Linked DNA regions of Drosophila melanogaster. The protein of the gene in region 1 purifies or fractionates together with the protein of each later gene. This does not show direct contact. Each region holds a gene or a part of one and is shown in the gene's direction. Other genes may lie near its edges.

Region 1 (5,447 bases):
AGTATTCTCTACCATTGTCAATGTATAAGTACACAACCTTTAAATTAAAATGAGCTTCACTCTTGGCTACAAAATCTTGAAACATGCTAAACACATCAGATTTATATTTAATTAAATAAGTTACACAATAATGTGTAAACTGATCAACAAAGATCACAAAATAATTTTTATCATCTAAAGTAACTGGAGTAATAGGCCCACAGACATCTGAGTGTACTACAAAAAGTGGTCTTTTAATATGGGTCTTATCTTTCAATTGTTTAAAAGGAAGTCTTGCCTGTTTACCATTTAAACAGGGTTCACAAATTTCACATGATAACTCTAAGTTGTTTAGAAGACTTTGATCACTAAACATATTCTTTCGTTTTATTTCTAATAATTTGCCATCGCTTATATGGCCAAACCTCTCATGCCATAAACGAAAATTATTTTTATGCTTAGCATTTATAGAATATGCTTGAAAATTGATCACAGGTACATTGTTTAACATACCTGAATTTTTGACAACCATTAACCCATTTTTCGAAATGGTTACACCGCTTTTGTCAAATTCGATCGACATTCCTGCCTCTTGGAGACGCTTTACGGACATCAAATTACCAGCAGCTTCCTTACAAAAGAGTACATCCTCCAGTGTAATCTCATGGTCATTCCGTAGTCGGACAATACCACGCTTAGTGGCATAAATAAATTCGCCTTGCTTGGCCACTGCAATCTTAAGTGGAGGCACAACCTCCACACTGTCGGTATACAGCGACTCATCATTTATAAGATGGTCACTAGCACCAGAATCAAGGACAAACCCGCAGTTGTCCATCACTGAAGTATTATTCACTTCTTTTACCATAAACGCAATGCCGTGTGATGTTGCAGTTTGAACTTGTTTTTCATTTTCTTTATTTTTATTATTTAATATTCTTTTATAATGGAAACAATCTTTTTTAATGTGGCCTTCTCTGCCACAGTGGTGACACTTGACTTTATACTTTGAATTTCCCTTGAATATTTTCTTTGGTTTAGTTACCCGATTTTTAAACAAATTATTTTTATAAGTGTTATTATTGTTGTGCACGATCGCGTTCATAACTTTCTTGCTTGTATCGTTGTGGTCATTTTTAATTTTAATTTCTTGATCCAGCAATCTATTTTTCACAAACGCCAATGTCAAATTTTCTTCAGATAATGTCTCTATCGCTGTAATAATTCCATCGTAACACGAAGGCAATGTGATCAGTAGATGAGAAATTTTATCCATCTCTTCTATTTTTGCACCAGCTGCCAACAATTCACTTATAAGTTCGTCAAAAATATGAAAATGGCTTAATAGTGACATCTCACTTGATAGCTTCAGAGAAAGCAAACGTTTTCGCAGCGCCAGTTGCGACGCCAAACTTTTTCGTTCATAAACGGCGTCCAAATTCTCAAGAATCTGACGCGCCGTAATGTCGCTTGTTGCGAAATTTAAAAACGAGTCGCTTAGGTACTCTATTATTGTACTTTTTGCACAACGCTCTGCCTTTTTCCAGGAGTCATCTACCTCGTTAGGCATTAAACCATCAACTACTTTAAGCACATCTTGCTCGGCTAAAAGAGCCCTAATTCTAAATTTCCAAATCGCGTACTTCTCGCCATCAAACGGCTTAATATTACGTTTAGCCTTGTCCATTTTTCACTCAAATTCTGAGAAGGAAATAATTTCACAAGAATGTGAAAAAAAAAGCTATTTCACAAGAATGTGAAAAAATGCTATTTCACAATTTATTTTCACAATCTTTAATTCACAATTTAATTGTTTATTAGGCATGGACTGGGCCCATAACCTGTTGTAATTTATAATTTATATTTCCTTTCTTAATAAATAAATAAATAGTCAAGTTTATGTTTGAGTTTTATGATTTATATTTTAAGTTATTTCAACTGCAACACCAGCACCACGACCTACTCACAGCAAAAAACGTACAAGAAGGAAAGAAGGAATAAAAAGAGTGGTATTCTCTTACAATATGTTTTATGGCATAAAAGGTGTGGCCATTCATATCAAATATAAAGTAGTGTTGTTTAACGTTATTTTTGTAGGTTGAATAGTATATTCCAACAGTTTTAAACCAATTAAAACAGTAGGGGAACAACACTGATTGTTAGAAAAGCTGACAACTCTTGCCCAGACAACTCTGTCAAACAATCGATAAATCAGTCACTTGGCTCGGCTGTCATTACGTAAAAAACCATATAGTTTTTTTTCTGTGCTGCTTGTGAAGAAATTGTGTTCCACTAACTCTTCGCCTTACGCTAAAAATGGCTGACCCCAATTTGCACGACAATCAAGTAATAAAAGGTTTGTAGTCTATAGAATATTAATAAAAATTGAATTATTATCTACGCTTTTACTTTAGATGGTGAATCTTCCGAAAGCTGGCCTGCATTCAATAGGAGGTTGGTTTAGGTACATATATTCTGCAGAACTTAGTAATCCCATATGGCTTTTCCAGGAGCCCGAATCCCTCTTTCTCCAGCGTTGATCAACAAGGAAATAAAACTAAGGCACGAAGGCAGCACCAAAGCCGTTCACATTCTTTTCACTCAACAGCAAATAGTGTTCCTGAATCGCAGGGACCTCTTGAATCTCGATCTGATCTGAACGCCAAGACATCATCGAAAAGCGAACGACCATATATTTCCACATCCAATTCAAGCTGGACCTCTGAATCCAGCTCCGGAAGTCCACCAGATTCAGGAGAATCGTCTTCGTTTTCGACTTCATCTTCGCTTTCATCATCATTATTATGTGCTCCAGAACCGAAATCTATTAACTGGAGCAACCCGAAATCTTCTTCAAATATCTCAAATGAAACCACAACTTCTGCGGGACAGGTTGGCGGCATTCCGAGCTTTTCAGAAAGTGATGACCAGGGAAGTGTCGACTCTGAAACAGTCTCTAACATCAGAAAATCAACTTCCCTCATAGAACTTAAAGACAATTTCAATACAATCATTGACGAAGATAATAATCAACAGCTCTCTAACGAGGGCAACATATTGTCCCCTGGGACAGTTTCTATTTCCAATTTTCCAAGCTCGAATGAAGTAGCAAATGGATTGATTGATGAGATGGAACAAGACCTACTCTCGAAGCAACATTCTACATCGACCCCAATAAATAAAAGTAATACAATGGAAAAAGAATTGCTCCCATTGCAATGTTCTTCATTTCCACCGACATCATCCGAAGGTAATATTTTAAAACCCAGGGTCAATCCTGTGCCATTAGGTCCCAGCTCAAATACAGAGTATGAATCAAATGGAAAAAATTACAACATTGAAAAAAGGTTGTCCCAATTGCGATATAGTTCAGATGAAAAGGAATCCGATGTCTTGTCGTATGCCTCTTCTGATAGTCTCGATTTAAATTTCGATTACGGTGATAATGCAAAGAATCAAAATGGAAATGGAATGAATGGAGAGGTAAATGGTGATAAGGAGTCGCAAGTTCTTGATATAGAAGAACAACGCAAACCTTTTGAAAAAGATGTAGCAGTTAAGTTCCAGACCACCATAACAACCCAAAATTGTGGACTTCTAAAAGGTCCATCGCAGTTTCTGAAGATGCCTTATTTCATACCCGTGGAATCCAAGGCATACGTGCCTGAAACCTTTCAGGATCGCATGACTAAGAATGATTTGAAGGACGAACAGTCACGCGAGGATTTCATAAATCGTCTAAAGGCAACTGTTAGGTGGCGCGAGAACGAAAACAAAACCAAGGAGTCCAATGCGAAAATTGTTCGTTGGTCCGATGGCAGCGAAACCTTTCATGTGGGCAACGAGGTTTTCGATATGATGCATCACCCGGTGACCGTTAACCAGAACCATTTGTATGTTCGCCTGGGCAGCTTCTACCAGCCTCAGGGTTTGATCCAGAATAAGTTGACTGTGCGTCCCATGCTGGACTCCAATTTCGGACAGAGTCATGTCCAGGCCTTGCGTAATCGAGCCACGAATAAGCCACAGTCTGGGTGCGTTAAGGTGATAACGAACATGGGCTCCAATCCCGAGCACGATCATGATCGGCGCATGAAGGAGGAATTGTCCAAGCTTCGCCAGGAGGGTCGTGAAAAGAATCGCGCGCTTATGAAGAATCATCCTCCGAAACGTGACAGGCACTATCAAGGCTCCGATCACAATGTGGCCAAAAACGCAGGGGCATTCGAAGAGGACGACGGTGAGGGTGCAGATTGCGAGACAAGCTCTGCATTGGAGGTTACGAATGAACCAATGCGCAGCGAGGAAGATACCGAAGATCATATGGACGATGATGCTTCTTGGAGCTCACCCAATTCCCAGGAGGAAGGAAAGCAATCGAGTTCCGAAGACGATCTCCCGATCGGAGGTGCTATCCGCAAGCCCACGCGTTTGGTCTATTCCGGATCAGATTCCGACTAAATATTAAATAGCCGCTAGATACGAAATCTCAATAAACATGTCATTAGCCAGCACGCAACAAAGCGTAGAGCCAGGAGTAGCTGCAACTGATATTTAATTAACAATTTCTCGCGCCCACAGTGGGTGTACGGCCATTGCCTTAATTAGGGGGCGTGGCAGCTGAGGCAGGCAGACATTGGTAGTCGGCGCAGAAATTGCTAAAGGTCACAATGGGGTCGTGATTGCAGCGCGGAGCACTCTAACCCAAATGCCATTGTCCGACTGCCAAACTGGCCGGCATACCAACGCCCAAAGCAATTAATGGTAGGTGCATTGGATTGCTGCCTGGTGTTTTTGGGAGATTGGACTCGTGACTCGGTGGGTCGTATGTGGGTTTTGGGGGCGGCAAGTGGGTGGCTTTCTGGTCAGCGGCTCAGTCGGACTTTGCTCTTTGATTCCAGCTTTATATTTGTCACCGCCATCTCAGGTAGCCGAAATAAGATACATACATACTTAGCTTGTTAAAAATTTGAAATTAATAAGTACTTTATTTGTTAGCAAAAGGCGTTATCCTGAAAATAGTTATACATTTGGTTGTTAACTATGATTATTTTGTCTCATTAAGTTTTTGTTCTACTTGTTTCCGTGAATATCGCTATTGTTTTAATTGAAAAGTATTTTACTGTATCTTAAACACAAGTATATAACAGAATAACAGATTCAGGCGCTTGTATTCTTGTTCAGGAACCACTAGCCGTTTAAATCTAGCTATGTCCGTCTGTCCATATGCTCTATAAGATTGTCACGCACAAGCTCCATATAATAAAAGTTCTCTGCAATAGATTTTAAATTCATTTTCCTCCAAGCCTCTAGGCAAAACTTTCCTTTTCAGTTAACAACAATCCCAATGAGAAACTTGAGCTTTGATGCCGATTAATTAACAGTGGACCCAGCATTATTGATTTTCGAGATGCATTCAGTCATAATGTGAATGGTGAGAGTTGTATTTGCTCATTTAACTGGTGAAA
Region 2 (5,548 bases), on another chromosome or scaffold:
TTGTTAGAATTTTCGCCAAATATATTTGTTTTGATGCAATTTTCAAATGAAATCTAGTGGATAGAGTATCTAGAAGTCACACAAAAGGCGTACTTATGAGTTTTTTCTGGCAAACCTCAGCATACTTATACTTCTCTTCTTTGTTTGAATAACGTTTTGGGTTCTGGTTGGGCTTTTTGGTGCAATAAGAGCAACTGAAGGATGGAAAGAAAAGCGTGCACTTTTCAAAAGTGGGCTTTTGTGTGGAAAGCGAGTCGAGGGGCTGGGATTCTGGTCAACTCACTAGCAAATCAAAAGCATTTCTAACCAACTTGCCAGCGAAGTTTGCACAGCGTGTTGGGCGCAGAAAGCGGCGCTAAAAGAACTCAGATTGAGTGCAAATAAAATGATGTCATGAAGTGGGTGGGCGGGCTAAAAGGCACGGAATGCATGCTCCACTTTATTTCAGCTATCAACTCGTAAAGTTTGCGGCTTGATGGCCTCCGGCAAAACGTCGGGTTTTCCCAGTGGGTGGAAATCTGTTCTTTTTTTCAGAGCTGCAGAGCTGAAAGAGACCACGGCAAAACTGCAATTACAAGTTGGAAGAGGAGGACTCAACTCAATGCGCAAATCTTGACAAGTATTTTGTCAACTTTGACTGCTGCCAGCTGGAAGCAAAGGCAGATGAAGTGCGAGCAACTTCAACCTCAAAGCAAAAGTGTTTAACTTTAAGTCCTGCCTTCTGCCTTTCTCTTCGGGGTCCTTTCATTTTTTTCCTTTTTGCCCCCATTTCGTCCCCATTTCACGGAATCGTCATGGAAACTGAAAGTGTCAGGGATTAGGTGATGCTGGAGTAGAGAGCCACTATCCACGTGGCTTTCAGGGGGATTTTAAGCCCAGGGGAATGGACGCAGACAAGGATTGTGTGGCCTTATAGGAGTTAAACATTTAATACGTGTACTGCCCAGTTATAAAAGTATAGATTCAACTGATTAGAGCACATTTGTAGAATAGATTTTAACATTTCTGCTTCTTTAACTACAATCGTAATGGTGATGTAAAGAAAAACTGTGTTGTTCCTAGAAGATGGATTACCAATTGCATTTAATCTGGGAAGTAAGTCAAACTGGAATTTTATATTATTTGCATTTATCACCATTTCATTAGCATACTTTGCTAATCTGGATAAATCAACCTTGGGCTTGAGTGCTGCCCAACAGCCCTCCCCTTTTCAGCTGCCTACTTTGACACTAATTAACTTGATTCAGTATTCGAGACTACTGCCATTGCCTACTGCCATCTGCAATTCAATTAAAAATTAACATTTTAATTGCAAATTACTTTCAGTATACTTTATGGGACGCAGGCACAGACACCGGCAGAGAAACTCCACTTAACTGGAGTAACTTCTTTCGCCTCTGCCACCTGCAGCCTGCCATTTCCGGAAACGGAAGTAGCAGGATGAAGAGGAAGAAGAAGAGGAGCCATTGGAACATCGGCTCATTGCGAGGCGTTTAATTCTATCATGCGCCAACAATTATGCAACTTGTTGGTTCACTGACTCAAATGGCCAGGCGGTTTTCAATTTGTTGCCAATAAAACTTTTTCCATTTCGGTTTCCTCTCAGTTGTTGCCACGTTGGCCTGGCGAAAAATGTTCGTCATAGTTTTGTTTTGTGAGTGGGCTGAAATAAAGGAAATTAAAAGTTCATTGCTGGTTTTCCGAGTGGAAACAATGCTGGGATAATCTCGATTTGGCGAACATGCTGTTCTTTGGCATTGTTCATTATTTGTTATATCTATTTGGATTACTCACATTTACTCTACGAATCTCAGCAAGTGTAATGGAAAAGATACCTGTACGTGAGTGATGAACCATTCCTTTGTTCACTTCGCTTTCCACTTAATAAATTCATGGATCCATTTGCTGTCAATTTGTTATTGATATCTCCGTTATGTCTGCATTTTTGCGACCGGGGGGAAACTGAAGGAGAAATGAAACTTAATCAAATGTGAAACTCTAGCGAGCACTTGATATGCATTTTCGTATTGAATTTCCCTTCCAGCTTCTATCGCACAATCGCTTTTATTCGAAAATTGCACGAACAAAATAATACCTGTGCTGTTTGCCGGAAGCTGAAGAAAAATGTATGTGAATGCTTTTCGGTTTTTTCAATTTAAAGCATTTAAGTTGCAAATATATATGTATCCACCTCTGCGGCTTCAATGCACAAATTCAAGTTAAAACCGCATGTGCAGTACTTTAATTGTATTATTGTTCACCATTTATCGCAATCCCTGCAGCGTTGGCTTCCTGTTAATTGCTTTGTAGACAAATTATAAAAAGCTCGACTTTGGCATTGTTTCGGCGGCATTCTGGAACACTTCAAAAGCAGACGAAACCACGGCGTAACCATGACCATGACTATGACTCTTTGCCCGCAAAAACAACCTAGAAACGTATAACTCTTTTTTTTCCCCCGACCAGCTGGGTCAGTTTTAATTTAACTTTGACATGCATCAGCTAAAAAATCCAATTACAAACACAAATGTAAACAGAGATAGTAGAGAGAGAGAGAGAGAGGACATGGAAAAAGGACCTTATTTTTTTTGGTCGAAAGACTAGAAAACCCATTAACGCGTTTTTGCCCTCCATAAAGATGAAGATTTATAAAGCCATTAATTTGGCCCAAGCGGCGAAAAAATGTATACAAAATTTGTGAGTGAGTGTGTGAGTGAAAAGTGCTGAGCCCATGGAAGCTGCAGTGAAACCCTAGAAATGTCCAGTCAGGCAGGAAAACTGCGTCCGGGTTCCTCAACCAAGCCCGATCGCAATGCGAATGAGGAGAACCAACTGGGCGCCAAGCCCAAGAGCCAAAGAACGGACAATCATCATCAGAATCAACCGAAGATGTTGCCACATCCCAACTACATGGAACTGGAGTTCCTTGCCACGGATCCCACGGCATCGGCGCAGAGTACGGCCTATCCGGACTTACCAGTTAGCTATGCCACCTGTTTGGTGGGTCCACCACCGTACAGGGATCCGCTGCCTCCCACACCACCGCCCCTCTCCCAAATGCCATCGAGGCTGCTCCACTCGGCCCCCAATACGCCCAGTCGTGGCAAGGTGGTGCTCAGCAAGAAGGAGCGCAAGGAGCTCAGCAAGCAGCTGGGAATCGACGAATCCTCGATCCTGAGCAGCAGTGCCCAGTCGAGTCCCTACAAAGGACGTGTGAGTGAGCTGAAGAACTGCATAGCTCGTGGCCTGTTTGCCACCCTTCATAGGGGCTCACAGAAGTCGCTGCAGCAGCAGGAGGAAAGGCCCATCAGTCAGGAGATATCCCCGCCTCCTCCAGCTCCAGAATCAGCCAATAATAATGAAGATGTGGCGGATTACTCCGAAAAGCTAAGGAATCTACCAGTGAGACAGCGCAAGGCTGCCACCTCGCACATGGAGAACTACTGTCTCTTTGATCCCGTGGACTTTATCAACGAGAAAGCCATGAGATATCCCAGTACTCAAGCCCACGGATTGAGGGATCCCCTTTTCAGCTCAAGACAGCACTTGGTCTGCGAGGATGAAGATGAACTGGTGCCAGAAGTAATATACGATAACGAGGAGCTCGAGTTGGAGGAGACTATTATCATAGAGACTTCAGCTATGCCAGAAGCGGAATCAGAAGCAGAACCGACTGCCAAAAATTCAGAGACCATGTCTAGTTTTGATCACCACAACTACTTTATTATAGACCCAGCGAACTTTCCCATGGACATCGGCATACCTAATCCCTATACCAACGAGCAGCTGGTGAATGCCAAGTTGGAGCAACAGAACCTGGAGAAGCTCTTCAACGAACTGGAGAACACTGCCAGCATGTCGAACAGCCAGGAGTCCAAAGATACGGAGACCACATCCACGGCCCTCGTAGAATCATCCACCTCAACGAACTCAGCAAGTTCCGCGGGCAGCTGTTCCCTGGCCAATCCCGCCCAGCAATCGATGAAGAAAAAGCTGACATTTCTGAATCTTTCGCCCTTTCGCAGTGGCAAAAAGTCTATCGACAAAAATACTTCTGAGCAGCAACGTGCCATTTCCGAGCTGGTCAGCACGGATCACATGTTGCACCTGCAACAGTTGTTGCAGCAACAGCGAAAGGATCAGCGTTCGCACACGGTTCCAACGGAGTCCAACTATGTGCTCTTCAACCCGGGCCCAGTGCCTAGTCGACATGTCCAGTACAAGATACGCAAACCACGACCTCTATCAACCCACAGCGATGCGGATAGTGGTTTCCTATCGCCCTGCTCCCCCGAAGAAATGCGTGCGAATCCGGCCATTTTGGTGCTTCAGCAGTGCGACAGTGTTCAGGGATATATGGAGGTAAGTCTGTGAATATTTAATGATATAAATATATAAAATATCACCATGACATACAAAAAGAAGAAGCTTAATAGAAGCATCTGTTAGGTTAATGGAGAAAAAAACCGAAAACCTAAACCACTTCTTATTTTAAACAGAACTTTTGTGCTTCAGCTTACAAAGTAAAATTCAATTTTTATCCAGACATTTTTCGAAGACTTTCAAGAAGAAAGAAAACCTTTTCCCAAAAAATACAAATCATTTATCTTTGTTAGCTTTGATGGCTTGTCCTGACAAAAGGGAACTTTATTATTACCTATGCAAATCTGGGTTTTAATGCTAAGATGCAGCCCGAAAAGTGCCACAATAATGTTCAGCTCGGTGGGGCTCACCAGCAAATGGCTTATTTTGGTGAAGCTCTTATGACCCTCTCAATATTGCAGTGCATGTGGCTAGGTTTCATACATTTCCTACATAATCCTCTTACCGTAATGTGAATCGCCGCATTAACCATTGGAAGGAACCCCACGCAGCATCTTATCTATATGGATAATTTCGCATATCTTAAGCCGGTAATCATTGCGGGCTGTTTCCGTAGTCGCACTTGTCGCCATTTGCCGGCTCACTTATCTTAACGAGCGAGCAACTTAACAAGTCTTATTATGCATCTTCAAACACCCCAGGGGAGGTGTTGGCTTACCCCTCGAAGGACCATTTTCGGAAAAACCCACCCGCAAAGGCGATGAACAAATGTCACCCCCAACGGCCGAGTCCTCGAGTATAAATTATCAAAAAAAGAGAAGAACGAGTCACGGAATTGCAGTTTGGAGGCAGTGCACTGCAGATGATTCCCAAAATCGAGGGCTTTTGAGAGCAGTTCCTGCTGGATTGCATCTGGCTTTCCCATTTTCCCCCGCCCTTCGCTCTTCGCTCTTGTTTTCCTCGTTGCCTCGGGGGAGCAATCAATCGTCGCGTTTTCACTGCTCGCTTCATTAGTTTTCCCTACCGCCAAACATTAGTTTGATTGTGTGCCCAAGTGAGGGACAGGTTGCAAGAGAAGAGAAAAGCAAAACCCAGAAGGAAACAACAAAAACACACACCAGCTGCGAATGTATGTTCAATCTTAGCGACTTTTAATGGAATTGAATTAAAATTGTTGCCATGGTGCCGAGTTGAAAGTGTGTGTACTTACACCCCTACTGGCCCA
Region 3 (4,119 bases), on another chromosome or scaffold:
CCGTGGTGCACCTGCTCCAGGGTGGTACTTTCCGTGGAGAGAAACCAGGACCTTTTGGTAGGTTGAATTGCTGCCACTAATGATTTGGAACATTTACATTTACACTTTCACAGGCATCAAACCGTCCGACATGACTGGCGAAATCTGGGACTATATTTTCTTTAAGGAAACCCCACTGCCAAAAAAGACGGCCATTAAACAGGAACATCTGGCAGTTCTGCGACGCGAGTTTGAGTACTGGTATCCAATGGATCTCCGTGTTTCTGGCAAAGATCTTATCCAGAACCACTTGACCTTCTGCCTTTACAATCACGCTGCCATTTGGCCTAATGATGAAAACAAGTGGCCCAAAGGAATGCGTGTCAATGGTCATCTGCTGCTGAATTCTGCCAAGATGTCCAAATCGGACGGAAACTTCCTAACTCTGACCGAAGCTGTGGACAAATTCTCTGCGGATGGCATGCGCCTTTGTTTAGCTGATGCCGGCGACAGTGTGGAGGATGCCAATTTCGTGGAGAGCACTGCGGATGCTGGTATTCTGCGTCTATACACTTTCATTGAGTGGGTCAAAGAGATGTTGGAAAACAGGAGCAGTCTGAGAAAGGGCACTGATAAAACCTTCAACGATCAAGTTTTCCTGAGTGAACTCAATTTGAAAACGCAGCAAACCGATGAGAATTACCGAAAGATGTTGTTCAAGGAGGCTCTAAGGAGTGGCTTCTACGAACTGCAGTTGGCCAGGGACAAGTACAGGGAGCTGTGTGGCGCAAATGGAATGCATGAAGATCTGGTTCTGGAGTTCATTCGCAGACAAGCTCTTTTGGTATCCCCTATTTGCCCCCATATGGCGGAGCATGTCTGGGGACTGCTGGGTAACAAGGAGTCCATTGTTCATGCTCGGTGGCCAGAAGTGGGAGCCATCAACGAAGTCGATATCCTGTGCTCGGAGTACCTCATGGAAGCCGCTCACTCGTTCCGTCTGAACCTCAAGAACTTGCTGCAAATCAAGGGCAAGGCCGGAAAAGATAAATCTGTGAATGTCCAGGCAGCGAAACCGAATCGAGGGCTCGTTTGGGTCGCCAAGACCTATCCTCCTTGGCAGTGCTGTGTCCTCGATACCATGAAGGAGTTGTTTAACAAATCGCAGGCCCTTCCAGATAACAAAGTCATCGCTGCTACACTGCAGCAAAAGGCCGAGTTAAAGAAGTTCATGAAACGAGTGATGCCCTTTGCCCAGATGATTCGCGAAAAGGTGGAGTCCGGCAAGGGTGTGGCTGCATTGGCCGTGACTTTGGAGTTCGATGAGCGTCAGGTGTTGATCAGCAATTTGGAGTACCTGAAGAACACACTGGATGTAAGTAGTTTCTATTGCTTGATGAGTTAGCAACTCAAATTAACGTTTGGTTTATTTTCAGCTTGATGTCTTGGAAATTAAGTACACCGATGATCCGTCAGCGCCGGAGAAAACTCGTGAAGAAGTGCGTCCCGGCTCTCCCTTCATCAGCTTTTCAGTGGCCCCAAATGTGAGCGTTGAGCTCACGAATCCTATCGAGCGCTCGTCGCTTTTCCAGGTCAACACTGTCATATCCGAGGGAGACACGGTCCAATCTCTGCGAGAGAAGCTCTCCAAGATTATTGGACTTAAAACGGATGCGGCTACCCTTAAGATCTGGCGGTATGAGGATCCCGTTCTGGGACCCCGAAAAATTCCCAACTTTGAGGATTACAAAGCAGGAAAGTCTGTACTCGGCGAGGGAAACTTCGTTCTGGATGTGGAGAACAAGAAAGTGAGCCTGGAGCAGGCTGGAAAACTGACCGAAGTGGGAAGGAATCTGATCTATGTGGTGGATTAGGTCAAAACGGCATCACAAGCCAAACTAACTTATTCATAGAATGAAATTAAAATGTTGTAAAACACAAATAATGGCTATTAAAATGTACTGTGAGTTGGTTGTGCCCAATTTAACTTACGATAGATTATGGTATACGATATATTCCTAAGTTAGCTGCTGAACCATTTAAGTTACCTTATGTGACTCCGACTGAACTTGAAACCTTTTACAATGACTGTTTCATGGGGCATTACAAGTGACCCAATTAAACAATTGAATGCTAACTGAAAGATAACGACTTTATTCTGAAACATCGAGGAAACCAAGTGACTTCTTAAATGAGAGTGTGTCCAATGCCACCCCGAAATGAATGTGTTCCGAGCATTTTGTGTGTCAGCTGGTGGATAAGCTGCGCAGTGATGGCACAGCGGGTCTTCTACCCACTGGGTGGCTATCACTAATCCAAGAAAAGCATTCCTATATAAGGTTTTACTCTGCCTTAGGCCATTGAATACCTTCGGTTTATGTTAAACAACCATGTTGGCTCTCCGCTTGTTTGTACTGCTGCAGTGCAGCCTGTTGGTTCTGGCTGGCGTTTGTTTAATACCACAGCCCGTTAAGAGGCAGCGATCGCTTGAGGATGTTATAAAGAATCCCTGGAAGCTATCACCCCGCCTGGATGGCCGTATTGTGGGCGGTCACCGCATCAACATCACCGATGCACCACATCAGGTTTCGCTGCAGACTTCGTCCCATATTTGCGGCGGTTCTATTATATCCGAGGAGTGGATATTGACTGCCGCCCATTGCACATAGTAAGTAAGCCGCTCAAGGAATCTTCTCTAGAGAGTATGCCAAAAATGATTCCTCCTGATTTCGTAGTGGTAAAACGGCAGATCGCCTGAAAGTGCGACTCGGAACCAGCGAATTTGCTCGCAGTGGCCAACTTCTGCGGGTGCAGAAGATCGTGCAGCACGCCCAGTTCAACTACACCAATGTGGACTACGATTTCTCGCTGCTTCAGCTAGCTCATCCCATCAAGTTTGACGAGACCAAAAAGGCGGTCAAGCTGCCCGAGTCTCAGATGAAATACATGGACGGGGAAGCTTGCTTCGTGAGTGGTTGGGGCAACACCCAGAACCTGCTGGAGTCCCGCGAGTGGCTGCGTCAGGTGGAGGTGCCTCTGGTCAATCAGGAGCTTTGCAGCGAGAAGTACAAACAGTACGGCGGCGTCACCGAGCGAATGATCTGTGCTGGATTTCTGGAAGGCGGAAAGGATGCGTGCCAAGGCGATTCCGGCGGTCCGATGGTCAGTGAATCGGGCGAGCTGGTGGGCGTGGTTAGCTGGGGCTACGGTTGCGCTAAGCCCGACTATCCGGGTGTCTACTCAAGAGTAAGTTTCGCACGGGATTGGATCAAGGAGCACAGTGGTGTCTAGATTCGTATATCCTGCACAGTTAACATAGTTTGAAATCAATTTCTTCCTATGCGATTGCTTTGACTAGATGTATTTCAAATACCCGCAATAAAAAATTATCAAACGATGCCAACCAATCCGATGGAACCATTTCATAATGCGCCGCTTCAATAGAAGGATTCGCACACGTTGCCAGCACGCAGCCAGCATTTCAAACACGCGACCCTCCAGGATATCGCACACTTCGCCGGCGCATGTCGCGTTGTTGGAAATGAGTCTACTTGGCCACGTTAAGAGGATGTGTCGGGCTGCACGAGTCCTTGGCCGTTTGTGAGGGATGGAGTGGGCATCGCATCTAATTGTTTTGCTTTTGATTGGGAGGCTTATCAGCCAACTTTCATCGTGACTGTCCACCGTTCATGTGTTACATGCGGCGTATACGCAATTACTTGCATTACGTATACGTAGGGACAAGTTTTTGTGCATTGGCGTGGCTTACTTTGCCGCTGAACGGACTCCGCCATTGTTGTGTTTGCTTAGTGATAAATTAGCTTACAGAAATTAACATCAGGCGTTGCATAATTCAGATGTATGTACTTGCATAGCCTTGGCATTGGCGAAGTGATCGCACAACTTACGTTGAGTGGAAACTTTGGGCGGATCGGCTGAAGTGGTCTAATCAATGCTATGTTCTTACATTGGCACTTTCGTTTTTCTCCATTCACTTTGCAGCAATGGATATATAACTTAAATATTATTTGCAAAAAATAAAAAAATTAATTCATAGTTGAAATGTATTCAATCAAAATCTGCTCCTTTATATTAAAAATATAGTTAGATTGTCACCTTTTACAAAAGTCTAACCATCTA

What was found.
Region 2: the proteins of CG10887 (region 1) and sick purify together in Drosophila melanogaster (affinity purification with mass spectrometry, with the first as the bait; one large-scale study listed by BioGRID). This does not show direct contact.
Region 3: the proteins of CG10887 (region 1) and CG31954 purify together in Drosophila melanogaster (affinity purification with mass spectrometry, with the first as the bait; one large-scale study listed by BioGRID). This does not show direct contact.

Annotation. Positions count from the first base shown.
Region 1 is NT_033777.3:20,112,644-20,118,090, forward strand, and holds CG10887 (uncharacterized protein), read left to right. Parts: upstream 1-2,194; 5' UTR 2,195-2,295; coding exon 2,296-2,335; intron 2,336-2,393; coding exon 2,394-2,433; intron 2,434-2,489; coding exon 2,490-4,440; 3' UTR 4,441-4,496; downstream 4,497-5,447.
Region 2 is NT_033779.5:19,824,517-19,830,064, forward strand, and holds the start of sick (sickie), read left to right. Parts: upstream 1-1,957; 5' UTR 1,958-2,757; coding exon 2,758-4,362; intron 4,363-5,548.
Region 3 is NT_033779.5:3,508,323-3,512,441, reverse strand, and holds CG31954 (uncharacterized protein), read left to right. Parts: upstream 1-2,339; 5' UTR 2,340-2,369; coding exon 2,370-2,647; intron 2,648-2,714; coding exon 2,715-3,270; 3' UTR 3,271-3,384; downstream 3,385-4,119. Other genes in the region: LeuRS (Leucyl-tRNA synthetase), read left to right, coding at 1-57, 114-1,354, 1,416-1,853.